2 linked regions of the Drosophila melanogaster genome follow. The protein of the gene in region 2 interacts with the protein of the main gene of each other region in a pairwise test. Each region holds a gene or a part of one and is shown on either strand. Other genes may lie near its edges.

The links.
Region 1: the proteins of eIF4E3 (region 2) and CG8907 interact in a two-hybrid assay, tested with the Drosophila melanogaster proteins (one large-scale study listed by BioGRID).

What each region holds. Positions count from the first base shown.
Region 1 is NT_033777.3:17,006,715-17,013,053, reverse strand, and holds CG8907 (uncharacterized protein), read right to left. Parts: upstream 4,225-6,339; 5' UTR 4,185-4,224; coding exon 4,126-4,184; intron 3,645-4,125; coding exon 3,251-3,644; intron 3,194-3,250; coding exon 3,149-3,193; intron 3,088-3,148; coding exon 2,197-3,087; intron 1,595-2,196; coding exon 1,222-1,594; intron 1,147-1,221; coding exon 806-1,146; intron 738-805; coding exon 642-737; 3' UTR 521-641; downstream 1-520. Other genes in the region: Irc (Immune-regulated catalase), read right to left, coding at 5,941-5,971, 6,142-6,304.
Region 2 is NT_037436.4:8,227,475-8,231,224, reverse strand, and holds eIF4E3 (eukaryotic translation initiation factor 4E3), read right to left. Parts: upstream 2,002-3,750; 5' UTR 1,844-2,001; coding exon 1,792-1,843; intron 1,727-1,791; coding exon 1,468-1,726; intron 1,402-1,467; coding exon 1,327-1,401; intron 1,273-1,326; coding exon 1,173-1,272; intron 1,110-1,172; coding exon 1,022-1,109; intron 965-1,021; coding exon 804-964; 3' UTR 657-803; downstream 1-656.

The sequences.
Region 1 (6,339 bases), on a different chromosome or scaffold from region 2:
AATGTGTTCACAAAAAAGGTAAATAACACGCCACGCCCCTACCGGTTTGAAACGCCCACTTACTTGACTTTTAGGATGCACTCACGAAGCAGAATTTATGAAGATTATCACTTATTACTCTTAATCGACGTCTATTACTTCTTCATAACATTGAACATCGTGTTTATTGAAAAAACCAATTCATTTCGGCTATTTCGTAAGTCTTTTGATTGAAGTCTGCAATTCGAACTGGAGTTCGACATATAAGGTATCTGGGTTAACCAATAAGCGTTTCATTAGGACTGTTCCATAACCAGTTCTCAAAGTTTCCTGTAATGATAAACATATTCTTGCCTAATTAATCATGCCATACCACTTTTGAGTTTAGGGAAGTTAAGTTTCTAAACAGGAAATCATATGATTTCTTCACTTCATAAATATTTGTGTTTAAATAAAGTATCTATATTACATTTATAATCAATTCGAGATGTTAACACTAAATGCATATAAATCAAACCCATTTTTGTCTTTTTTTTTTTTTAATATACGTATGAACACTGTTTAACATAAATGAAGGATTATTACACATAAATAAATTAATGGCATCTGAAGCATTTTTGTCTCTCTGGTCTCCGGCTAAAAAACTCGGGATACTGGGAGTCTTAGAAGACCTCGTTGGGATTGCCATTGGACTGATCGGCCTTTTGGCGAGCACGTGCCAGTTTGGCAGAAAGCTCCGATGATCGAATGGTTTTGTACTGCAAAATTGGATATTGGAATGGATTCGATTAGATTAGATAAGGTGAGGATATGTCCAAGAACTCACCTCGCAGAAATTCTTTTGCAGCACGATCTGGGAAATGAGGCGGCGACTCTCCCGCCGGCCAAAGTAACTTTCGATGGTGTGCGGTGATAGGGCGAAGATCTCCTCGCCGGATAGCGTGTGCAATCGTTTGATAATGATGTCCGAGAATCCCTTGCCCCGCAGCCACTCCTCCACCTCGCTTGGCTTTGAATTCTGGGTGATGAAGATTTCCGGCGTCTTAAGGATCTCGAGGTCCTTGCGCCTCTCTCGCTGCTGCTGCAGTAGACGCAGTTCATCATGCACGTCGCCCTGCATGTAGTAGAGCTGATCATCTGCCTCGCAATCATTGCGGGCCCGCATGGCTGGTAAGCGAATGAGATAAATACAAATATCATTATTATATTGTATTATTTTTTTTAATTTACTAGTGTACCCACCTGCTAGTGCTCCTGCCGCCGCCATGTTGCGTTTGAGTGTGCCACTGGGCGTGGGCGTTTGGCTATCGCTCGGTGGAGGCATCGGTGGTGGAACGGGCACGTTGGGCATCGAGAAGGTGCGCTGCATGGCCTTGCCATTGGCCGCCGGCTGCTCCACGGGAGCGGTATACATGGCCATTGTGTTGCGGTACAGCGGAGGAGGAATGGCCTCCTCGCCGCCGTTCTCCGTCAAAGCCATTGAGGCCAGCGACTCCGTGTCCCGGCCATTTACTCCGGGCTCAAAGTTGTACGGCGTGAGCACTGTGTGCGGCACGTAGCCAATGTTTCCGTACGAGTTACGGGCCTTCCACCAGTTGCGGGAGTCATCGATAATCTTGGAATCAGACGATTTATATGATAGTTATTATAAGGTCTGTTATCATGGTGATATGAAGGTAAGATCGCGTAATTGGGGAATCGATAAGATTGGTACCATGTATAGTAAACATGGTATAAAGTTAAAAATATAATCAATGTTTAGTAATTGCATTCAAAGTTTTTGTATTGATATAGTGTTACTGACCTCTCATTGGTAAGACATCTCAAATGCCTGAATTTAAAATTATTGAATCATATATATTACCGGCAATGAATTTTCATATCTTCACAACCAATACTTATCTAAAGCTTTTTTATATCAGTAACATTCCAAAACAAAAGATTAATATAAAAGTAAAAGACCTGTGCCTTATAAGATTTCAAATCATTCAGTTCTCACACGTGGACATTCCTATATATTTACAAAACTGTATTGTAACCCAAAATAATTGCCTCTTACATACATTCATACGTCAGCGAACGATTAAAAAAGCAAGTCGTTTTAAATGTTGTGCAAATCTTAATTAAAGGAACTTGAAATTGGGATAAATTTGGCTAAAAGATCTGAATGATAAGAACTGACATTAAAACCCCTTTCGATTATTATTAGGTACTTACCTCCAAATACTCTCCCTTTGTAACCTTTAGTTCCTTATCGTTGGTGGCCGACTTATTGAAGGTAACCTCGGCGATCTTGACATTTCGGCTCTCCAATCTACTCAGCCAGGTGCGATTTCCTAGACCTGGACTCGGGGGCATGGGAACCGGCACTGGCGAAGGCGTTGTGCTCTTTTTTAGAGCAGGAGCCAGGTACGGCACCTCCTCATCGACCACCCAATCGGGAGACCAATCGTCGTAGAAGATCGGATGATAAGAGCTCTTGTGATCCTTGAACTGATCCTTGGGAACCGTCCAGTTGGGACCGAGGCTCTGCCACAGCTGCATCTCGTTGGAGTCGAGGGTGCCATTGAGGAAGGCAATGGTCTCACGGCGCAGGAGGGGATTAAGTACCGCCTGCGGCAGACCCGCATCCACGTAGATATCGTTGCAAACCGTGACGATGGATTTAAGCGATATGAAGACATTGTGCACCGGATCGGCGGGCTTGGTGAATTGGTTCTGCAGCCGAACGGAGTATATAAGGGCCAGTTTCGCCTTGGCCAAAATGTCATGGAACTCGCTCTCGATTGGTGGTCGCGATCTCAGGACCAAAAGTCCCTCACCGTGGGGATTATGCTGTTCCTTGCGCAACTTTAGCTCGTTAAGCGCCTCGGCGGCATAATGAAGACGGGCCATGAACCGCTCGATGTCCTCGAAGCAGTGGTTTATCACCTGGACATCCCTCTCGGTCTGCTCCTTGTCTATGGCATTCTTCTCGGCTGCTATTCCGGCCACAGCAGCTGCTATTCCATACTGATCCTTGGCCTGCTGGTTCTGCGGCCTCTCCGGCTTGGGCAGCAGGATGGGCGTCTTGTTGCGATCCACTGTCACAGGGGTTCCCTTGCTTAGCTGAGAAATCGTGGTATTGGGATTATATAGATCGGGGATCTATTTATTCAACTCAACTCACCGTCTTTAGATCCTCAACCAAGAGCACGGAACTGACATCGGCCACCTATTAATGATCTAATTATTACAGATCTCAAAGTGCTGAAAAATCGTGGCTGCTCACCTGGAAGATGTGCATTTCGGTATTGCCCAGTGAGATTCCGGGCACTGAGAAAATGAGGATATTGTTGAATGACTCCTGCGGATGATCGCTTATAAAAGCCGTGGGCTCCGTGATCAGGCTCCCCGGAAAGTTCTCAATCTCCTTCATATCACTGTCCAGCATCACCAGCCACTGCCCATTGAAGCTCATGAACATCTTGTGCGGCCAAATGCCCCCGGTCTTTTCCAATTCGACCAGAAGCTTCATCTTCTCCTTCGGCTGCTTGACCTCAGCCTCGTTCTTCAGCTTAAAGGTGGCCAAGTGCTCCAGGGCATAGGTGGGCTTGACCTCGTCGTAGTGCCCATTTGCCTGATTCCCGCCAGGGACTCCATTTTCGTAGCCGTTTTGTGGCATCCTGAGAAATAGGGAAATGGGCATTCCAAATAACTATAGTTTTTTTTTTTTTTATCACTTATTGGTTGTTTCCATGTAAAGTTTGGCATTCAGGCGCACATATTGTAGAATATGAACTGCGCAATTCTTTGCCCTTCTTTTTGTTTTGTTGATAACACTACATTGCAACTAATGCATGACATAGAGGTAATTGACGATGAGTAATAGTTGCTCTTACACTTTTTAATACAAGGAAAATAGGTTAAACTTTAATAGTTCAATAGTAAAGAATTTTCTATCTTGTTCTGCATCTTTTACACTATAAATGCAGATCAAGGACGAAAAGATCTCTTTGTTTGAATGTTATGCTAACATAAACAGTAAAACACCGAAAATTTCCAAAGTGGCACTTTAAGTATACGGGTATATGATAGACAGGTGTTGGCAATGCTTCAATCTATGAGATAGCCTCCTGTCTATCACGCTTGATATTTGATATTTACCCATACTTGACCGAAATGGGTCGGAAGTATTTCAGGGTCCTATTGCCTGCTTTGACCATTGCGGCGGTGTGTAATCAAAGCGTTCTGGTAAACTATTGATTCCCAATGGGCAATGCGAATCAGATAGATGGCTACCATTAGATACCTTTGCATTTAGAAGTACATAGGTGTACATATGTACATAGGAGAGTACCTATTTCACCTGTGTGGTAGCTACCTGTCCGATTAGATAAACGCAATTGGCACTGTGTTTGCGATTGCTTTGCTTTTTCAGTTTGCTGGCGTTACTTTATTTCTGTTTTGCAGTTATCACAAGCCAGGAAATTCTTCGCTCATGAAGCAATCGTTAATGGCAGCTTATTACATAAGGACTCGAATATAAGAGTTAATCGCGTATTTTTAGGCCGTGATTGTGGGTCAATTATTTACCGCCGTGTTTCGAGATTTATTTATTGCTTTCACTGGCATGACATCAGATCCTAAGATACAGATGTCTGAGACATATCGTTGGTATGTTGATTTACGGGCTTAGAAGAACCGATGGATTGGTTACCTTGTGTGCTGCCCACTGTGCTCTTTATTTATTTATTTGCTCTTTTTTCTCGACCCGATCTACAACTCTCGACCCGCTGTGAATCGAATTCCAACTCCAACTAACTGACGTTGGCTGGCCCAAAGGGAATGGGAATCGGCGATATCAGCTGGCTCATTAATTGATTGCCTGAAATTGCGATGGTGCGTTATCGCAAAAGCAAAAGTGTGCCTTATCTCTTGGTGCTCATAGGCACTTTTTCAATCTTATCTGGAAGCAGAGCAACAAATACAAATACGAATACCATTCCTTATGAGAGAGTCTGCTACCCTTGGGCCTTGATTTTGATATCGGCCCACTGTGGGATCGTATGAAATGGTCAGCAGTTGACCCTGTTACCAACAACAAATCTTACTTTCAATTAAAGATAGTAATTACTAGGAATTTCTTTAAGTTCCATTAACACATTACTTAAATAGCTTATTATTGATTGGCGAAAAAGTGAAAGTGTTCTTGAATAAAACTTAAGTATAAGTTTTATATCGCAAAAATGCATCTCTATGGTTGTTTTAATCTTTACAGAAATCATTAAAAACGTCTTGATGACTATTTTTCAAAAAACGGAAATGAAAATTACTTATGTCATGACGTGCGCGCATAATTTCGATCAATTAAATCTACATACAACTTACTTTATATCTTATTCTACTCGTATTATCATATCATGTATTTTGTATGTTGCCTATGAATCATTCCTAACTTAAGAAAGTCCTTCATCATAAATAAAGAGCTTTAAAACAATCATGCTTAGGGTCTGGGGTAACTATTTTATTCGTTTATTGGCCAATAACTTTTATTGGAGCAAATTGTGACATTCTTGCCTTTTAATGACTACTACTTCACGTAATAACAGAAAAAAGCGACCCTCATTACAGTTGAAAATGGGAATTGTTGAAAATGGAAATACACGTACCGCACTGTCCGCAACACTTTCTGCAACAACTTTGAGTATAGTAATATTGCGTGACTTTAACGATCCGCTTCTGAATTGAGAGTTATCAAAAGTGTCAACCAGACACAATTGATCTGTAAATTCATGTCTATGTCATGTAATTCTACCTGTAATTCGATGTTCCCTTAGACAAAACGTATAGTTAACAACCAATATAGCAATAAGATAATAAGAATCAAGATTGAGGTATTTAATGAGTTTTGACTCTTATATATATTTTTTTTTGGTTTGGAAACAATCTTAAATGTGAGCAGCGTTGTTTTGTCAACCTCTAGACGTCTTCACAAGAGACCATTTGATTTCTGTAAGGAAACGCGAAAGAAAAAACAATCATTAAGGTTGTAGATAATTTTGGTTGCTGAGCTTATCACTCCAGTACTCAGTATAATATCAAATGTGAATCAAATTGTGTACGGACTGTGACTCAAGCGAGTGACAGGTGATCTATTATGATTTTTTTTCCAATACTAACCTGGCCGATGGCAACTGGAAGATATTCTGGGGAACAGCTGAAAGGCCGGAATTCAGGCAAAGGAGTTTGGTTCCATTGAAGTGGCGATATTGCTCCACCAGTTCAGTGTGTTTTTGGACAGCTTTTTGCTGGTTTTGTTTCAGAACATGTACGAATTGCTCAGCTATAAGAAAAGTAATTGAGTGATATATATACATT
Region 2 (3,750 bases):
AGATACGCTGCCATTGGCACTGACATAACCCCATGTGCAGTGTATCACGTTCCAGTCATTTGGTGGCTGCCACTTCATAATTCAATAAAACAATAAAAGCAAAATCCTTACAAATTACAGCAATCAAATCATACGACTTACATGGGCATCAGTGATGACAATTCAGGGTCTGAATATTTTGCACTTTCAAATATCATTTAGTATGTGAGCAGAAATATTATACATATCATAGGTGCTGAGATTTCCAGGAATACCGGCAATACTATCTGAAATATTAGTTTTTGGAATATGGAATATATATATATTTGGAATATAGAATGAAAAACCTGCTAGGAGCACTAGCAGCACTTCCCTGGAAATGGAGGATATTGCGCTTCCCGAGCATATTTCCATAAATTGGTCACAATTTGCTATGCGCAGCAGCACGGAAGACAAAAGCCCTGAAAGGACGACGCACACACATAGGAAGGAATAAGCACTTGGCGCGCGATGGCAGCCGTTAAAGGATGGGCAGAGTCACCCAAAATTATGACGCCAAGGATAATCGTAGTGAAGCGAGTATGTGTTTCCCACTCCGCCGGGGAATACGTGAGGCGACTATAGTAGCCTCGGGATACCGGCACACGAATCGTGGCCAGAAAGTAGTTACTGTTTCTACTGCTCTACGCAATACTTTATTCATGGTACAACCGATATCTATCTCGAAAAGCATTGGTGCGCGTGGGATAAAATGTGAGTTTGACAAATGTATAAGGCTTATGTACTATCGTTGGAAATGTACTATGGCGCCCTTGGAAATTGGCCTACAATGTGTAGATGGCATTGACATTGGGTCCATGGTTCACCATGGCATCCTTGTGCACCTGGTACTGGATTTCCATAATGCCCAGATGCAGCAGCTCCTTTATCTGCCTGCCAATGGACAGGATAGCCTCTACATTGCGAGAGTCCTTCGTCCAAAGGGCTGTAAAGAAAGTTGACCTTAGAGATACCCCAATGTGAAATGCTGTCTTATACCCACATAGCTTATTAGCCTTGTTGCGCACATTGATGACCACTCCACATATCTCGTCCGAGTGCTGGAAGCACTCGCCAATCATGCACAAAAGCTAAAGGAGATAATGCTTTATAATGCATTGAGCTTATAATTATGGTGCAATCATGTGGCTTACCAAATCGTGCCACATCTTATCTATATAGGTCCTGGAGGCCTTGTCCAGGAGCAGTATCCAACGACCACCGTTCTTATTGGTGTCATCCTCCCACATGGGACTAAATATTTATATACATAAGACGAGGTTCAAAGAGCAGACTTTCAGAACTCACCGAATATTTTTCTTGAAGACCATGTAGTCATTGAATATCTTCAGATCCGATGGCGGCTTCACAAAGTAGTACACACTGTCGAAATAGAATAGGATATATATATATAGGATATATATATATATATATGAATCTGTGTCTGACCTGAAGAAGTCCTCAACGGTGTTGAAGCTGGTCACATCGACGAGCATTTCGGCCCAGCGCTTGGTACGATCGTTCTCCAAGTGCCACAAAGTCCAGGTATGCTCCAATGGATGCTTCATGGCCAGGTCGTAGTCGATGTTTTTCATCACCCGGTTCAATGAGGGCTGCAACTCCTCCTCATTGCCGCTCATCAGTTCCAAACCATCATAAACTGCCAGACCATGTGACCAGTCATTGGGATCTCCATACGGCACCCATGCTAAATATATTCGATTCGCATATCGAATGATGAATCGTAAAAAAAAAGATCTGCTGTCAGCTTACCAGTTTCCTCAGCATTCTGCAATCCGTTGCTTACGTAACCGGTGTACACCATTGTTTTTTATTGATTCAATGCGATAAACGAACCTTTTTTTGTTAGTTTTCTCGTTTTATTTTACTAAAAAAAACTCCTTGAAATGGTATATGTCTCGTGCAAAGTATAAGCGTTAATGAAAATGGCTTAACATGAGTGCACACTTTGACAAATCAAGATATGACAGCTAAAGCGTTGCCACCTTGGTTATGAAAAAGTATTGGAAAAGTCATGTGACCATCTCGTTGCGTAATATGCTTATTTTCAAAAGACTCTATCCCTTTATCGCCTTTATTATTTAAAATATTTTATGGTACATCCTGCCATTATTTCATCAATAAATCTTGTATCCAAGTCTTAAGCACCCCATTCAAACACTCCGATATTGCAGCTCCCATTCGCACATTTTGGTTGCAAAATCAAATTGAGTCGGTTAAGTACGAGCCCGAGGGTCTATCAATTGAAATGTCACGCTAATAAAATAAAATGCCACCGAGCATACGATAAATGCACGAAAATAATAAAATGTGACTCAAATGAGCGACGACGACAGCAACCACAGACACAGACACGGCCACACAAAGTTGGCAGCCGGAAAGACGGATACGATTGGGAATGGAACTGGAGCGAGTAGAGGAATCCCCCTTTCTTGTCTGCTCTGGCTGCTCCTTGTGCAACAGTTTGGCCTGCAGTCAATAATCGAAATCGACTTGGGCTTGTGGCAATAAAAATTTGTCTTCGCCGCTTAAGTTGTGCGCCTTGTTGCACACACAAGGTCCTGGGTCCCTCCGTGCCGGAGTCCTTTGGCAAAGCCCCACACCTCACCCCTGCCCGAACCCATCACCACGCCCCTGGCGGCGGTGCAGATAATAAAATATGTGAGTCGCTACGTGGCAGCTCCTTTGGCGTTGGCAAAGTAGCTTTGGGCCCTTGTAATGTGCACCATTTGTTGCGCGGCTGGTGGTGCGGTGGCACCAACTTGCACTCCAACCAAGATGCTCCGCACCAGCTCCATCTCCGTTTCCATCTCCATCTGCTGGATGCACGGGTGAGTTATGCCGGCCAAGTTTGGAACAAAAGTGTTGGCACTGCTCCTTGTTCTTGGTTCTCGCAGCCAAATAAGTTGCCAGCCCCAATTTACTTAAAAATTCTATTTATTTTTGCTTTTAAGCAGCTTTGGCGGCTGCTCCAGCTCGTATTTCTGGGATTTTTTGAGGAAAAAACTGCTCCAAATTTGTTTCGTTAATTGGGAGAATAAGTTAAAACAAGGAATTGTAAAATTTTAGAAAGTGTTTTAATATCTAGACTATCTTAACTTAAAGTACATTTTATAAGCTCGTATCGCACGTTATTCCCTTCCTCTCTTCACTTAAACAATAGATAAAACTTTTTCAGCTACTGCTGGTTTTTAATATTTATATTTTTTGACATGCCTGTTTATTCCTTGAATCCCATAACTAAAAATTACCTGCTCCAAATGGAGTTGGTAGCCCATAAATTCCCGAGAGGGAAAACTTTAGTTCCAACTCTTTTTTTGGGGCTTCTCCCCCATTCGAGTTAAGTTGCCGGCAAACGCTTAGCTATGCTTTGTTAGATTTGACTTTGTGCTCCGCTCTTCTCAGGTGGCACTTTGGCGTATACGCAATATTTTACAGCTTTTTGCACTTTGCTGGCTGAGCTGAAAATACATGGTCAGTAAATCTTTTAAAATATTGTAATGTTGAGGGAGTCTATGGGGGGATGGCTCCCGCACCAGCTTAAGCGATTTGAGTGCCGAAGCAGTAAAAACGCCCACAAACTGCCGGGGAAAACGAAGGGGAAAAGCGCGTAAATGGGGCAAACTACAAGAAGAAGCCAAGGATCCAAGGACTCAAGTATCCAAGAGCTAGGACCTCATCTTGAGGCAGTTCTGTGCAGACAAGCGCATG